Saccharomyces cerevisiae S288C: one gene and its partners. The protein of the gene in region 1 binds, or shares a complex with, the protein of each later gene. Each region holds a gene or a part of one and is shown in the gene's direction. Other genes may lie near its edges.

Region 1 (3,572 bases):
ATAATAATCAAAGAGCCGGCTATTTCTTATAACACGACGGCATGCCCTCCCTAACTCGACGAATAAAAATAATTTTCACAATAAAAAAAAGACTACAAAAATCAGAAACTTTTTCATTACGCCATTTGCTACGATACGATACACAACAAGCACATTCTAAGAGCATTCCATTTACTATGGTCAAAATGACCAAATAAAAAATTAAAAAAAAAAAGAAGGAATGAGAACTAGTAACTACATATTCAACAATTGCAGTTTTCTTTTCCTTTTTGTCCTTGTCCTTTCTTTCCTATTTATATATATATATATATATATATATAATACTACTATGTTATATTACATTATATTATTATCACAATAATTATTACGTTCATCGTGCCGAAACGTCACCTCCCACGGTTTGGATCTATTGAAAGAGGGTGGAATCCCTGATAATAAAAAAACTTTAATCAACACTCGGGAGGGGAAATATAAAAGACTGGCGCTACTTAAAGAGCTGATTCGCCAAGGCAGAAAAGCATAACCATATTAAATCTTCTCCTTCAAAGCTAGCACGCCTTCCAAAATGACCCACAGCTTGAAAGCTCTATTCGCCTTGCTATTTCTTTACACAGCTGCTGTCAATGCGGGTGTGATTGGCATATTCAACGCCCTTCCCCCACCAAACACCAAACCAATTAACGGCGAATCTCCACTTTACCAATGTGACATTCTAGACAAGCAACTTGTGGAAATCAAAGAGGTCAATTTGGACCCTAACCCTCCTGTTCGTGGCGAAAATTTGACTATTTCTGCTAACGGTGAGGTCTTTGAAACTATAGAAGAGGGGGCATATATCGACGTTGAAGTCCGTCTAGGATACATCAGACTGTTATCCCAGACTTTTGATTTGTGTGAAACATTAGAAGATAACGATATCGAAGGCTTATCCTGTCCAATTGAACCGGGTGAATACAACATTAAGAAAATAGTTGAGATCCCAGGCGAGGTTCCACCTGGCAAATATGTTGTTGTAGCAAGAGCTTACACTGAAAAGGATGATCTGATCACTTGCTTAACCGGAGAAGTCATCTTCCCACCAAGGTGATCTGATTCATACAACTCATTGATCCGTGTTTATTTCCCTTCTCGTTCCATGTATTCTTTTCTTTTACCCCATGTTCTCTTCACCCGTTCGAGGCAGGGTTTTTCCTCTTTTTGTTATAACCACCATCTAGTCGAATGTGGTTACTCTTAATATTTTTTTGTCGGCCAATGCTTCAGCGCCTTTGTCAACACCTACTTCTTTTCCATTCCTTTCCTCTAATTAAAAATCATCTATTTAGTGTGTACGTATTAAAAACATGTCATTACATTGATATCTCATTGCAAAATTTCTCCCTTACGCACATCTTTGGTTATTATATATGATGACAGGTTCGTTCTCCGGGTAATGCGGACTTTACATATTAATTCTTTTCCCAGTATTTTAGGCAGAATATAAAAGCTTTGAGGCTTTAAGTGAGACAAAAGTCTTACCATAGCAACACGAGGGCTCGCCGAAACTTCCATCTAAAATAAAGAGTGCCCATTAATGTCCGGAAAACCACCAGTTTATAGATTACCCCCTCTTCCCAGACTAAAAGTGAAGAAACCTATCATTAGGCAAGAAGCGAACAAATGTCTTGTTTTAATGTCAAACTTATTACAATGCTGGTCTTCATATGGTCATATGAGCCCTAAATGTGCTGGCTTAGTAACGGAATTGAAAAGTTGCACTAGTGAAAGTGCCCTCGGCAAAAGAAACAACGTTCAAAAGAGCAATATTAACTATCACGCCGCTAGGCTGTATGATAGGATCAACGGTAAACCCCATGATTAATTTTATATCCAAAAGCAGCAAGAATGAAAACTTGATAATATTAAAGTCATGGCCTTGTATATACAAATTAAATAGTCTCAACGGAAAATATATAAACTTTTAATCTAATAGTAACATCAGCATTTTATTTTCTTTCCTCCGTTAAACCGTACTTAATTCTTGATCCTGCCTGCTCTCTCTAAAGTGTCATCAACCAAATACCAGCCAGGATAGTAATTGTCATGGTATTTGCTGAATCTTTCCTTATCCACCACGGAAATAGGTGACGTGTTTATAGCGGAACTACGTTCGCCTTCTGCGTCCTTGCCAAATGCATGAATGATTTCCCATTCAAAATGCAAGGCTGGATTATTGGAGTCCTTTCTCAAGTGTGGGTTAGGCAATGAGTTGTTAATTCCGCCGATTGATGTGAAACCTTTACCATATAGTCCACAAATTGGCTCATTAGAATACAGTAAGAAACTCCATATATTGGTTAAGTCCCAGTGTAAGAGAGGTTGCAACCTCATAAAATCAGGCCAGTTAGAATCTGTTCTTTGAATAGGCTTTAATGCTTCACCAAATGGGTCTGTGTGTCTAATACCTATCACTATAGCTTCGGTCTCAGGGTATATCTTTATAAAATCTCTAAATGCGTCTGCCATATTGACCGATGCACCAGATTGCCTTTGTGATTCGTATAAGGAAAGGCAATATCGCTCTGAGGTTTCCAGTACAAAATTCTCTAATGTAGGGAAAGTTTCTTCTTGATCAATGAAAACAGTTGGAAGTCTTTGCATGGGGAAGCTTTGAAACTCGAAATCGAATTGGGAATTTTGAGCCTTAATGAAGAAATATTCCCATAAGCAACTCAGATATAACAGTAGTAATACCTGGCAATCTTTTCCTCCGTTGTACGAGAATGATATTTCCCCATTCAGTGGACTCCAACGTACAAAAATTTCACTTAGTAAGTATTTTCTTGTCAACCGTATCGCTTCTTGTGTACTTGCTATTATCTGAGATTTCTGGTCTATGTGTAAGTAAGAGTTTGTTATCTCATAACACATCTCAGCAGCCTTGCTCAACTGCATATTGTGCTCCCCTATTTGTTTATTACTTTTTGCAAATGTTGCCCTCTATACCGAGAAAGTAATATCAGTTTTTTCCACTCTCAGTCAACAAAATCTTTCGAAGATTTTTCGAGGTTCTTTCTATAGACGGATCCTTAGGTTCTTGCTAACCAACGTGTTGTATATGAAACCCATCTCCAAATTTTGAGCTCTTCCCATCCTTTTGTTTCCTCGGACTCAATGAATTTGAAATCTGCCGAACAAGCTAACTAAAAAATAGGAAAATTGGAACAGAAGTTAAATGCGAGCAGGAACGTTTATTAGCGCTTTTAAGTCTAACACATATATATAACACTATTTACAAGGTTTGAATAATTTTCTACCTGTCTCTAGTTAAATTTTTTTTGAGGCTTTTGAGATAATTTTCAACAATTAGTAAGTCATTATTCGTGTCTTTATTCCATAAAACACCTACATTCACTATTTTATTTGCGCTGGACGAAACTTCCTCATCTGCACTGAGCTGTTCTCCTGCTTCAAGAAAGACATCCTCATTTAAACTTCTCATTTCTTTGACAATCTTATCCAATATATCCACGGTTTCAATATTTCCGATGACACCATTAACGCTCATCTCGGTAACCACACGTCTCAAGTAG
Region 2 (6,148 bases), on another chromosome or scaffold:
CGAATCTTTCACGAGAAAACCTATCAACATTAGGCTCTAAACCTTATCCAGGACACACAAGATCACAGTCTGATGCGCATAATGGACTGATCAATTCCTTTGAAGAGGAAGATACAAGTTCAAATACCGATCCATTTCACGACTCCACTGAAGGAGACCTTTTAGATACCTCAAGTTCGGACGGAGGATTTAGGTCGCAAAACTATGTTCGAGATGACAGCATAAATAGTTTGGGAAACAATAAACAACCACTGAGGAAACCCCCTGGATTCTTCGATGAAGGATTTATGTGAGTCTTTACGATATACAAAAGTTCTGCTCCTATCATAAAAATTTTTAATTTTACAGGTTTTTCTCATTCTCCTTCTAACCTTCTAAATTCTGTTTTTGTCAGAAGTTTCCCAAGTTTTCTTTTTCATTAATAACGTTAAAACACTTTGTACCAGTTTGCTTAATATGAATTTTTTTAAAATAGATAGCTTTTGTTATCTTTGTTTCTATGTTGTAATATCCCAGTTTGTCATATTTTTAATACTCCTCGTGTAACAACAAATTAAAAAAAAATAAATACTTAAATTAATCAAGTTAAATAAACTAATCGAATCAAACAAACAATTTATTATAAAATTATGTTTTTTCATGAATAGGAATGTGTAAGTTGTTCAGTTCTTAAGAGGTATCTTATTTTTTAACATCTTTGAGATCTTCCTCCTCAAATATTTCCTTCTTGTAATATTTCCACTATTAGAGTTTCTATTATGTGCGGCTATCGCTCTTATTAGTGCATCATGAGGCCTTTCTATGTTTTGCGCAATCCGATTTATTGTACGGTCTAGTTTTTCATGAAAATTCGGGACATTTTCATTCCCAGAGCTATCATATTGCTCCATAGGATTTATTTCGTTTATCCAAGACATTTCTTTGTTTTTAAACTTTCTTAAGTTTTTATAGCTCTTCCAAAACTCCGAAGTTAAGGATTTATATTCCAATTCGTTTGATATGTTCTTATCTGAATGGATGAGCATCTCATATTTGGACATAGGAATACTTAACGAATGTAGATAAGGTACCACCTTGGTGATTCTTCCTTTAATTGACCAAGATATTTTGTAATCTCTAATATCATCAGAAATAATAGGCGTTAATGGAATAGTTTCAAAATTGTTCTGAGTGGGGGGATGCGTCTTTGAAGAATTGCAAACAAATACGAATCCAACAAATTTATTAGGAAAGTAAAGGGTTACATTACGCTGTGTATATTTCTGCACCCTTGCAAACTTGAAACATACTGAGCTGTTTTGGGAGATAGTATCATCCTCCTGGGCTGGAATGCATAGTGGTTCTGCCCAATCTAAATCCTTTTGAAAGGGTAGAATATGATTCCAAATTGGCTTTCCTCCTTTACAAAAGGTCACTTGAAGAAAATTATTGATTTGCAAGGGCGCTACCTGGTATTCATATTGTTTTTCAATTACAAAGCCTGTGTACAAAGTACTTTGTTTTTTGTATTGTTCGTACTCCTGCTTCAAGTTCTGTAACTTGTCACCTTTAAGAACATTTAAGAAGAACTCTGTCTGGAAATTTTGGTCTTCGAACTTACACACATCATGTCCAGGAAATGAACTTTTTCCTTGAACGAAAGTGCTCTTAAATAAGGTGTACGTTATAAAAAAGAAGAAAAATTCTAAAAAGTTGTACATTCATCCGAGGAGCACTTTGGATATTATAATCTATTTTTAGTTTTGTTGCTTTGTATTGAGCTGTATAAAAATCATTAGATCCACATTACTAATTATTGAATATGGACAATAATATCAAATATATTATTATCAAATTGATTATTTTGTGACGCGGCGTCAAATTTTAATCGCGTCTGACGAATGAGCGGGTAATAAACTGTCTTTTTTTCATGAATGAATCGAGCTGGCATTAGGAACATGTCGTGTAAGATTTGGGAGTAAATAACAGAAAGCTGCAATAAATGGTAGCTTGTAATGGTGAATTAAGACACCCAATCGAAACAATTATACGGACACGATGAAGTTGGATATAAAGGTATGTTACCAGAGCGCGTTTTGCCAATGCAATTGCGAACAAGCTCCGACAACTCCTATGATTAGGAAATGATCTCGTTCGCGAAGAATACAAAGCCTGCAAAAAGCAAACATTAAGATTAGTTACTAACAGGAAGATTTTTGAAATAAATGCATTTGCTCTTGGCATTTCCTTTATTTGACACTGTACATTTATGATAGAAAACTTTTAGTAATAGATCCGATCGAGTTAAAGGTATCGATTTCCATCCTACTGAGCCATGGGTTTTGACTACCTTGTACTCTGGTCGTGTTGAGCTTTGGAATTACGAAACACAAGTTGAAGTTAGATCCATCCAAGTTACGGAAACTCCTGTTAGAGCAGGTAAATTCATTGCAAGAAAGAATTGGATAATTGTTGGGAGTGATGATTTCAGGATCAGAGTCTTCAACTACAATACAGGTGAAAAAGTTGTTGATTTCGAAGCTCATCCAGACTATATCCGTTCCATTGCTGTACATCCAACAAAGCCTTATGTTTTATCCGGCAGTGATGATTTGACAGTCAAACTATGGAATTGGGAAAATAACTGGGCCTTAGAACAAACTTTTGAAGGTCACGAACACTTTGTCATGTGCGTCGCATTCAATCCAAAGGATCCTAGTACGTTTGCATCTGGGTGTTTGGACCGAACCGTTAAAGTTTGGTCATTGGGACAATCGACACCAAATTTCACGTTAACCACAGGACAAGAAAGAGGTGTGAATTATGTTGATTATTACCCGCTACCTGACAAGCCTTATATGATTACTGCGTCGGACGACTTAACCATCAAAATTTGGGATTACCAAACGAAGTCATGTGTAGCCACTCTAGAAGGTCACATGTCCAATGTTTCTTTTGCTGTTTTCCATCCAACTTTACCCATTATAATTTCTGGTTCCGAAGATGGCACTTTAAAGATATGGAATTCTTCCACTTACAAGGTAGAAAAGACTTTAAACGTTGGTTTAGAAAGAAGTTGGTGTATCGCTACCCATCCAACAGGACGTAAAAACTACATTGCATCCGGGTTTGATAATGGGTTTACCGTACTTTCCTTGGGAAATGATGAACCAACTTTATCACTTGACCCTGTCGGTAAGCTAGTATGGTCAGGTGGCAAAAATGCCGCAGCTTCAGACATTTTCACTGCCGTCATAAGAGGTAACGAAGAAGTTGAACAAGATGAACCATTATCTTTACAAACTAAGGAGCTGGGTTCCGTTGATGTTTTCCCTCAATCTTTAGCCCATTCTCCAAATGGTAGGTTTGTTACAGTTGTTGGGGATGGTGAATACGTTATTTATACGGCGTTGGCTTGGAGAAACAAAGCCTTCGGTAAATGTCAAGACTTTGTTTGGGGCCCCGACTCCAATAGTTATGCTTTAATTGATGAAACTGGGCAAATTAAATACTACAAAAACTTTAAAGAAGTCACATCATGGTCTGTCCCAATGCATTCTGCTATTGATAGATTATTTTCAGGTGCCTTGTTGGGTGTGAAGTCTGATGGCTTCGTCTATTTCTTCGATTGGGACAACGGTACGCTAGTTAGAAGAATTGATGTTAATGCTAAGGATGTCATTTGGTCCGATAACGGTGAGCTGGTGATGATTGTCAACACCAATAGTAATGGTGATGAAGCAAGTGGTTACACATTATTATTCAACAAGGATGCTTACCTTGAAGCAGCAAATAATGGCAATATCGACGATTCAGAAGGTGTTGATGAGGCTTTTGACGTATTGTATGAACTAAGTGAATCCATTACATCAGGCAAATGGGTTGGTGATGTCTTTATCTTTACCACAGCAACTAACAGGCTGAACTACTTCGTAGGTGGAAAGACTTATAATTTAGCCCATTACACAAAGGAAATGTATCTATTGGGCTATCTAGCACGTGATAATAAAGTATATTTAGCTGACAGAGAGGTCCATGTTTATGGTTACGAAATATCTCTAGAGGTGCTGGAGTTCCAAACATTGACTTTAAGAGGGGAAATTGAAGAAGCCATTGAAAATGTACTCCCAAATGTTGAGGGTAAGGACTCTTTAACAAAAATTGCTAGATTTCTGGAAGGTCAAGAGTATTATGAAGAAGCACTGAATATTTCCCCTGATCAAGATCAAAAATTTGAGCTAGCCTTAAAAGTCGGCCAACTTACGCTTGCTCGCGATTTGTTGACAGATGAAAGCGCCGAAATGAAATGGAGAGCCTTGGGTGATGCTTCCTTACAAAGGTTCAATTTTAAACTTGCTGTTGAAGCTTTCACAAATGCACATGATCTAGAATCTTTATTTCTATTGCACTCATCTTTTAATAACAAGGAGGGGTTGGTCACTTTAGCTAAAGATGCTGAAAGGGCCGGTAAATTCAATTTGGCTTTTAATGCATATTGGATCGCTGGCGATATACAAGGCGCTAAAGATCTTTTAATCAAGTCTCAAAGGTTTTCCGAAGCCGCTTTCCTTGGATCAACATACGGTTTAGGAGATGATGCAGTCAACGATATTGTTACAAAATGGAAGGAAAATTTGATACTCAACGGTAAGAATACTGTATCAGAAAGAGTTTGTGGGGCCGAAGGTTTACCAGGCTCTTCGAGTTCAGGAGATGCCCAACCACTCATTGACTTAGATTCCACTCCAGCCCCAGAACAAGCTGACGAAAACAAAGAAGCTGAAGTTGAGGACAGCGAGTTTAAAGAATCCAACTCAGAGGCAGTTGAAGCCGAAAAAAAAGAAGAGGAAGCTCCCCAGCAACAACAATCAGAACAACAGCCGGAGCAAGGAGAGGCAGTGCCGGAGCCTGTGGAAGAAGAGAGTTAACCACCTCATAGAAAGACAAATAAAGAACTAATCAACGAATGAGAAAACATCTTTAATGGATGGTAAACATATATATATACAGATGTACACTTTTTATTTTTATTGCGATAGGTGTGAAAATGAACGTGACTTGAAACTTTGCGCGCAAACAAATCATATTATGAATTACTAAACACGTCCAGTTTATCTACATTTCTTTTCTTCTTTAATCCGATATAATAGGTCTCCTTTGATTCGTCTCTAGAAGCGTCAGGCTTGAACTTATGAACGTTAGTGAAAACTGCCTGCATTCTTTTTTTAAATAGGTTTTCTTCTTCGCCGGTGTATAGTTTACAAACAAACGAACCTAATGGCCGTAATAAATCTATAGCCGTAACTAAGGCTGCGTCACATAAATCAATAGATTGGTAATGGTCTCTTATACTGACACCAGATGTATTAGCCATCCTAAAATAAGCTTGATTAGTAATGTTGTTCCAAAAACCGGTTGTTTGGGGCCAGGGTTCATACATATCACTTATAATCACATCAACTGGGAATTTTTCTCGTTCTATTAGGGTACTATTCGTATTCGGAGTTTCATAAATGTCATCAGAGGTGAAAATTTCACGGTACAATTCAGTATCTTTCACATGGGTTAGCTCCTCCTCGAGCATGTTCTGGAAATAGCCATGGTCCTTATGCAAATCATCGTGTCTGTTCAATTGGAAATGCTTAGAAAAAAAGAGCCGTATAAGATCATGAGTTCTTTTGGCCAATATATTAGCTTGAATAGAGTTCACACCATGCGGAGGTTCACAAGGGAGAATGTCAACGCCCAGTATCATTGAATTAGGTGAACTTCTTTGCCGTGCTACTTGGGACCAAGCCCCAGGGGCATACCCAAGATCTAGAATTCTCTGATCGGTCCTGTTTTTGCTAAAAAGCCGATATTTATCATCAATCTGCATAAGCTTGAATGCGGCTCTAGACCTCAGATTTTGGACCTTGGCCTCTTTTGTGTAGGGATCCTTCAGTTGTCTATTCAGCCATCTGTTTTGTGAGTTAGAATTATACCGTACATGTATTCGACCTAAAGAAGACGATATTATACTCCTGATACGATTGTACACTAAAATCATGCTGTAATTTTCCCGTCAGTATGTGTAGTCATTACTTCAAACCTCGGATAAGCCCATCTTGATGGCTACGACTTCCATCTATATCAGAGGCTGACATTTTTCTCTCATTGACGGAGACGC
Region 3 (2,585 bases), on another chromosome or scaffold:
AAGGATTTGGGTTTCTCAGAAAAGGACAGAAATGAAAACATTCGTAGAATTAGCGAAGTTTCTAAGCTATTTGCTGATTCATGTGCTATTTCAATCACCTCATTTATCTCTCCATACAGAGTTGACAGAGATAGAGCTCGTGAACTACATAAGGAGGCTGGTTTGAAGTTCATTGAAATATTTGTTGATGTTCCATTAGAAGTCGCTGAGCAAAGGGACCCTAAGGGTTTATACAAGAAAGCTAGGGAGGGTGTAATCAAGGAGTTTACAGGTATTTCTGCCCCATATGAAGCGCCAAAAGCTCCAGAGCTACATTTGAGAACCGACCAGAAGACGGTTGAAGAATGTGCTACCATTATTTATGAGTACTTAATCAGTGAAAAAATCATCCGTAAGCATTTGTAATTTGACCGATTACTGTACATTTAATGATATATAAAAGATGTATATATATAATATAGAACATATTTATTCGAGGATTCATTCGAAAAAAAAAGAAAACTTTAGTGACGAGATTGAGTAAAGTGAAAAACTGAACAAATTTTCGGAAGCCTTTTGATTCTAAGTGCCTACTTTGATATCAGTAGTTGATGTATTATAGTATAGACCTATTATTCATTAAATATACTCAGAGCGCTCAAGTCTGCTTCTTCAAAGTGTTCAACCGAGCTTGCAAGTCATCGTCAGGATTACCGTGAAATTCTGATCCGGCGCCAATAGGTTCAGGAATCCCCATCGCTGTTTCTGCGATCGGCGCATTAGAAACCAGATTTTGAGGCGTGCTTTGCAACTGTGAATTCAAATCCACTCCAATCTCATCAAGAACTTTATTTACAATTTCGTCAGCTTCTTCGTCTTCATCCACCTCATCACCCATGACGTTATCAATAGCTTCGTCCATGAATTCCTGTCGTTGACCCATCAAATCACTCTGCTTTTCAAACTCCATCGATATCCTTTGCAACTGAGGTAGATTCATTGTTCTGTTCATTCCAGCCAAAAGACCAGTGGCCTCGCTCATAGAACGTGTCATTTGGTCACTACTTCGAACGGCCTGTATTCTCAATGATATCGCCTGAAGTTGAGCTTTCATGTTGTCAAATTTTTGGATGTAATTCCGGGTTCTTACTAAATCTTTTGCTTGAACTTTCGCAGCTGCAACTTGCCCATTCTTTGCCGATTTTTTAATTTCTGATACAAGTTTTTTATCTTGTAGTTCCAATTTTCTCTTTTCTCTTTCAAGCTCCCTCTGAGTCCTTTCTAAAGCCCTTTGATTCTAAAAACTCAAATAATTAACGTTAGTATGTTCACTAAAATAACTGATCCAAATACAGAACAACATACTTTTTTTAACCTCTCTTGCGGAGTGACATTCTTTCCAAATACCCACTCAAACAAACTCATTGTTTAACGTTCTGTGTCCAAGGGTGAAACAATCAGCCTTGAAGTACACTGGTCACAAATACGCTTCAACTGAATACGCATAATTCGAAAGGATGATTTCTGATTAGGAGGAGACGAAGTCCCTTTAATGCTGATTTTATCTATCTTTTCGCAGTTATCATCTAACCCGGAAAAGTTTCAACAAGACTTTAGCCTTTTAATGGAAACTCCCACTAGTTCAGCTTAAACAAAATAGAAAAGCTTCAACAGAGGAAAGAATAACGCAAAACCACCCTTTTCACTAAGATGCTTTATGAGCTGATCGGACTTGTTCGCATAACCAACTCCAATGCGCCAAAGTTGGAAGCAAAAGAATTGTCTTCCACAATCGGGAAACTGATTATTCAAAACAGAGGTGTGGTGAGGGACATTGTACCCATGGGCATAAGGTATCTTCCTAAAATAATGAAGAAAGACCAGGAAAAACATTTTCGAGCATATCACTTTTTAATGCTGTTTGATTCATCAGCTGCGGTACAGTCTGAAATTCTAAGAACTTTAAAGAAAGATCCCCGTGTCATAAGATCATCCATCGTTAAAGTTGATTTAGATAAGCAGCTGGATAGAGCCTCATCGTTACACCGTTCTTTGGGGAAGAAGTCTATTTTAGAATTAGTGAATGAAGATTATCAATCCATTTAGGTATAGCGCACAGGTTTTGACTGGGGACGCTACAAACACATGTAAATACATACATATCTTTCATACACATATAATAAACAAAGCAGGAAGAGCATTCTAAAAGCCTCACTTAACATAGACACCATTAAAAGCCACCCATTTATTTCAAAAATTTATAAAATTCTAAAGATAATCAGTGGTATGTGATTAAATAAACTACATGTATATTATGCTAAACGACAATCCTGACTAAGAAAAAGAAAGAAAAAGATATATATTTATATGTATCTACATAAGACCAACCGTATCCGTAATTGCAGATAAAATACTCATTAAGCCCTCTTTACACCTAGTGACGTTATAGACGTGGCGGACGAACGAGAAACAGAAGTAGATCCATCAAATAACGAAGGGCTTACACTGGGTTCATCAGTCATATTAAGATCAAAGTCAAGTTCCAAGTTGGACAAAGGGACACTTTCGATATCGTTTGAATCTGCAGCCAATGGATCACTCTTTGA
Region 4 (4,419 bases), on another chromosome or scaffold:
CATTCTTATAATTATATAATTATTATAAAATATATAAATATTATAATAATAATAATATATATAAATTATAATAAAAAATAATAATAATATATAATATACCTTTTTTTTAATATATTAATATATAAATAAATAAATAATGGATAATATATAATTACTTTTTTTATATTATTAATAATAATAATTTATAAATATTGTTATAATAAACATTTATATAAATAAATATAAATTACCATAATAAGATATATTATTTATTAATAATAAAAATATTTATTAATAAATAAGAAATATATATATTATGATAATATTTATTAATAAATAATAAATTCTTTATATATAAATATATTAAATATATTTAATTGAACACAATATAATTTTTATTGTATTATTCATTTAATAATATTAATATTAATATTAATATAATATTAGTGAACATCTCCTTTCGGGGTTCCGGCTCCCGTGGCCGGGCCCCGGAACTATTAATATTTAATAAAATATATATAATTTATAATTTTCATATAATTAATATAATAATTAGGTTTATAAATAAATTATAATATATTATAACAATATAATAAAATATATTATAAATCTATCTATCTATCTATATAATATATAAATTTATATATACATTAATAATATTTAATTATAATTATTTAAATATTTAATTTATTAATATTCCCCGCGGGCGCCAATCCGGTTGTTCACCGGATTGGTCCCGCGGGGTTTATATTATTTAAATATTAAATATTAAATAATAATTTATATTATATTAATAAATATAATAAATTAAAAATATATGATTAATTATATAATAATAATAATAATTATTTTAATATTATAATTTATAAAATTAATTATATTAATTATATTAATTCTTATTATATAATAATTATTAATAATAATTTATTTTAAGAAAGGAGTGAGGGACCCCCTCCCGTTAGGGAGGGGGACCGAACCCCGAAGGAGAAAATAAATTAATAAAAGTTTAAAAGTTCTTATATTAATAATTATATAATATTATATTAAAGATTTTTATAATATATATATATAATATATTTATAGTTCCGGGGCCCGGCCACGGGAGCCGGAACCCCGAAAGGAGTTTATTTAATATTTATATTTATATTAATATTTATATTTATATTTATATTCCTCTTAAGGATGGTTGACTGAGTGGTTTAAAGTGTGATATTTGAGCTATCATTAGTCTTTATTGGCTACGTAGGTTCAAATCCTACATCATCCGTAATAATACATATATATAATAATAATTTTAATATTATTCCTATAAAAATAAAATAAATAAATAAATAATAATAATTAATTAATTAATTAATTTTAATAAATATAAAATATATAAAAATAATAATAATAATAATTATTATTTTAATAATATTATTTATATAATAGTCCGGTCCGACCCTTTTTATTCTTAAGAAGGGATTTTATTTTATTAATTAATAATAATATATTAAAAATTATAAATAATTAATAATTCTTTATATTTATATATATATATATATATTTATATATTTATATATATATTTTAATAATATTATGATATATTTTATTTTAATAATATTTTTATTTTTATATATAAAATTATAATATTTTATTTTATAAATTATTTATATATAAATTATTAATAATAATTATTTTTTTTTATTTGGGATTTATATTATTATTATAAAGAATATAATGTTATTAATAACTGCAAAAAATATCTAATATATTATTATTTATAATAATAAATAATATTATAATAAGGATGCATATTATATATATATATATATTTCTATTTATATTAATATTAATATTAATATGTATATATAATAGATAAAAAGTAAAAATAAAAAATAATGAAATTAAAATTATTAAATATAATTTTATCAATAATAAATAAACTTAATAATAATAATAATATTATTATTAATAATCTATTAGATTCATTAATAAATAAGAAATTATTATTAAAGAATATATTATTAGATATAAATAATAAAAAAATAAATAATATAAAAAGAATATTAAATAATAATAATATAAACCCCGCGGGCGCCAATCCGGTTGTTCACCGGATTGGTCCCGCGGGGAATATTAATAATAAATTACAACATTTAAATAATATAAATAATTGAAATCTACAAATTTATAATTATAATAAAAATATAGAAATTATAAATACTATAAATGATAAATTAATTAATAAATTATTATATAAAATAATAACTTTAAAATTAAATAATATAAATATTAATAAAATTATTATAAGTAAACTTATTAATCAACATAGTTTAAATAAATTAAATATTAAATTTTATTATTATAATAATGATATTAATAATAATAATAATAATAATAATAATAATTATTATATAAATATAATAAATAAATTAATAAATATTATAAATAATAATATAAATAATAATTTATGTAATATTTTAAGTTATTATTATAAAAAAAAAGTAACTATTGAACCTATTAAATTATCATATATTTATTTAAATAGTGATATTTTTAGTAAATATATTAGTTTAAATGATATAGATAAATATAATAATGGTATCTTAACTAATTATCAACGTATATTAAATAATATTATGCCTAAATTAAATGATCATAATATTTCTATAAATTATATTAATAATATTAATAATATTAATAATAATAAATATAATAATATAATTAATTTATTAAATAATAATAATAATATTAATAATAATAATAATTATAATAATAATAATAATAATTATATTGGTAATATTAATAATATTTATAATAATATAACTATTGATAATATTCCTATAGATATTTTAATATATAAATATTTAGTTGGTTGATCTATTAAATTTAAAGGTAGATTAAGTAATAATAATGGTAGAACTAGTACACTTAATTTATTAAATGGTACTTTTAATAATAAAAAATATTTATGAAGTAATATTAATAATAATTATAAATTAAATTATATCCCTTCTAATCATAATTTATATAATAATTCTAATATTAATAAAAATGGTAAATATAATATTAAAGTTAAATTAAACTTTATTTAATATATATATTAATAGTTCCGGGGCCCGGCCACGGGAGCCGGAACCCCGAAAGGAGAAATAAAATAAATATAATAAATAAAATAAATAAATAAATAATATATATATATATATAAATATATAAAATAATATTTACTTTTTATATATATATAATTATATATAAATAAAATATAATATAATATCATATAATTATATAAAAATAAAATTATAATTTATTTATATTAAAAATATTAATTAATTAATTTTTTTATATAATTATTATAATAATAATTTAATTAAAAATAAATATCAAATAAAATTATAAATTAATCCTACTTTTGGATCCTATTTATATTTTATTATTATAAATAATTATTATTGATAGTTAATTAAATAAAAATATATATATATATTACTCCTTCGGGGTCCGCCCCGCAGGGGGCGGGCCGGACTATTATAATTATTATTAATATATTAATTATTAAATTATATAAACCGCCCCCGCGGGGGCGGTTAGTTATTTATATTAATATATTTTATATTAATATATAATACTCTTTTTTCTATTATATTTTAATATATAATATTAAAAAAAATAAATAAAATAATATTCTTAATTTTTATTCTTTATCTTCTTTAACCAAACTCCTTCGGGGTTCGGTCCCCCTCCCATTAGGTTAGGGAGGGGGTCCCTCACTCCTTCGGGGTCCGCCCCCCCCCGCGGGGGCGGGCCGGACTATTTTAAATTTTAATTTAAATTTTATAAATATAATATTTAATTATAAATTTAATAATAATATATAAAAAATATATATATGGTTAATATATATAAAGATTATAATCTTTTTATTAAATAAAGGAAAATTTATTATATAATTTTTCTCTATAGTTATATATTTAAAACTTATTTTTTTTTTTTTATAAATAATAATTATAATAAATAATATTAATTATTTATTATATAATTAATTGGCCCCCATGCTGGGTTCCGGAACTCCTCCTTCTCGCGAGGTTAACACCTATTATATAACTATAACTATAACTATAACTATAATTATAATTATAACTATAACTATAAATATTCATTTTAATAATAATAATAATAATAATATTAATATAAATAGTCGAAGAATATATTTATTTATTTTAATATAAATAAAAAGTTTCAATTAATTTGAATTTGGAATTAAATTATTACTTCATATGGGGTTATGGATTTCGTTCGGAACTCCTCCCTCCTACCTCTATTTATTAATCATAAATCATAAATTATTATTAATTAATAATAATAATTTACTCGAGGTTCATACCTATTTTAATATTAATATTAATATTGATAAAATATATATTCACTAAAAAGTATATAATTTACTCAATTTATACTATA

What was found.
Region 2: the proteins of MRP10 (region 1) and SEC27 are in contact, whole or in part, in a crystal structure (PDB 8R8B), measured with the Saccharomyces cerevisiae proteins. Residues at the interface, in NP_010238.1 of Saccharomyces cerevisiae: Lys17 (codon at 1,622), Lys19 (codon at 1,628), Lys20 (codon at 1,631), Pro21 (codon at 1,634); in NP_011378.1 of Saccharomyces cerevisiae: Arg15 (codon at 2,280), Lys17 (codon at 2,286), Tyr33 (codon at 2,334), Arg59 (codon at 2,412), Asp98 (codon at 2,529), Tyr99 (codon at 2,532), Arg101 (codon at 2,538), Asp117 (codon at 2,586), Phe142 (codon at 2,661), Met144 (codon at 2,667), Leu161 (codon at 2,718), Asn188 (codon at 2,799), Asp206 (codon at 2,853), Arg272 (codon at 3,051), Trp274 (codon at 3,057).
Region 3: MRP10 (region 1) and MRP17 share a complex: the UniProt entries of both Saccharomyces cerevisiae proteins name them as parts of the mitochondrial small ribosomal subunit.
Region 4: MRP10 (region 1) and VAR1 share a complex: the UniProt entries of both Saccharomyces cerevisiae proteins name them as parts of the mitochondrial small ribosomal subunit.

The regions. Positions count from the first base shown.
Region 1 is NC_001136.10:370,675-374,246, forward strand, and holds MRP10 (mitochondrial 37S ribosomal protein mS37 MRP10), read left to right. Parts: upstream 1-1,573; coding exon 1,574-1,861; downstream 1,862-3,572. Other genes in the region: type 2A-related serine/threonine-protein phosphatase SIT4, read left to right, coding at 1-32; NPC2 (sterol transporter), read left to right, coding at 566-1,087; FAD1 (FMN adenylyltransferase), read right to left, coding at 2,014-2,934; MTF2 (Mtf2p), read right to left, coding at 3,293-3,572. UniProt on the Saccharomyces cerevisiae protein: Component of the mitochondrial ribosome (mitoribosome), a dedicated translation machinery responsible for the synthesis of mitochondrial genome-encoded proteins, including at least some of the essential transmembrane subunits of the mitochondrial respiratory chain.
Region 2 is NC_001139.9:247,832-253,979, forward strand, and holds SEC27 (coatomer subunit beta'), read left to right. Parts: upstream 1-2,037; coding exon 2,038-2,055; intron 2,056-2,255; coding exon 2,256-4,907; downstream 4,908-6,148. Other genes in the region: FLC3 (putative flavin adenine dinucleotide transporter), read left to right, coding at 1-293; YGL138C (uncharacterized protein), read right to left, coding at 663-1,700; MRM2 (21S rRNA (uridine2791-2'-O) methyltransferase), read right to left, coding at 5,066-6,028. UniProt on the Saccharomyces cerevisiae protein: The coatomer is a cytosolic protein complex that binds to dilysine motifs and reversibly associates with Golgi non-clathrin-coated vesicles, which further mediate biosynthetic protein transport from the ER, via the Golgi up to the trans Golgi network.
Region 3 is NC_001143.9:436,597-439,181, reverse strand, and holds MRP17 (mitochondrial 37S ribosomal protein bS6m MRP17), read left to right. Parts: upstream 1-1,689; coding exon 1,690-2,085; downstream 2,086-2,585. Other genes in the region: MET14 (adenylyl-sulfate kinase), read left to right, coding at 1-405; ESCRT-III subunit protein DID4, read right to left, coding at 638-1,276, 1,345-1,404; AUR1 (inositol phosphorylceramide synthase), read right to left, coding at 2,397-2,585. UniProt on the Saccharomyces cerevisiae protein: Component of the mitochondrial ribosome (mitoribosome), a dedicated translation machinery responsible for the synthesis of mitochondrial genome-encoded proteins, including at least some of the essential transmembrane subunits of the mitochondrial respiratory chain.
Region 4 is NC_001224.1:47,042-51,460, forward strand, and holds VAR1 (mitochondrial 37S ribosomal protein VAR1), read left to right. Parts: upstream 1-1,859; coding exon 1,860-3,056; downstream 3,057-4,419. UniProt on the Saccharomyces cerevisiae protein: Component of the mitochondrial ribosome (mitoribosome), a dedicated translation machinery responsible for the synthesis of mitochondrial genome-encoded proteins, including at least some of the essential transmembrane subunits of the mitochondrial respiratory chain.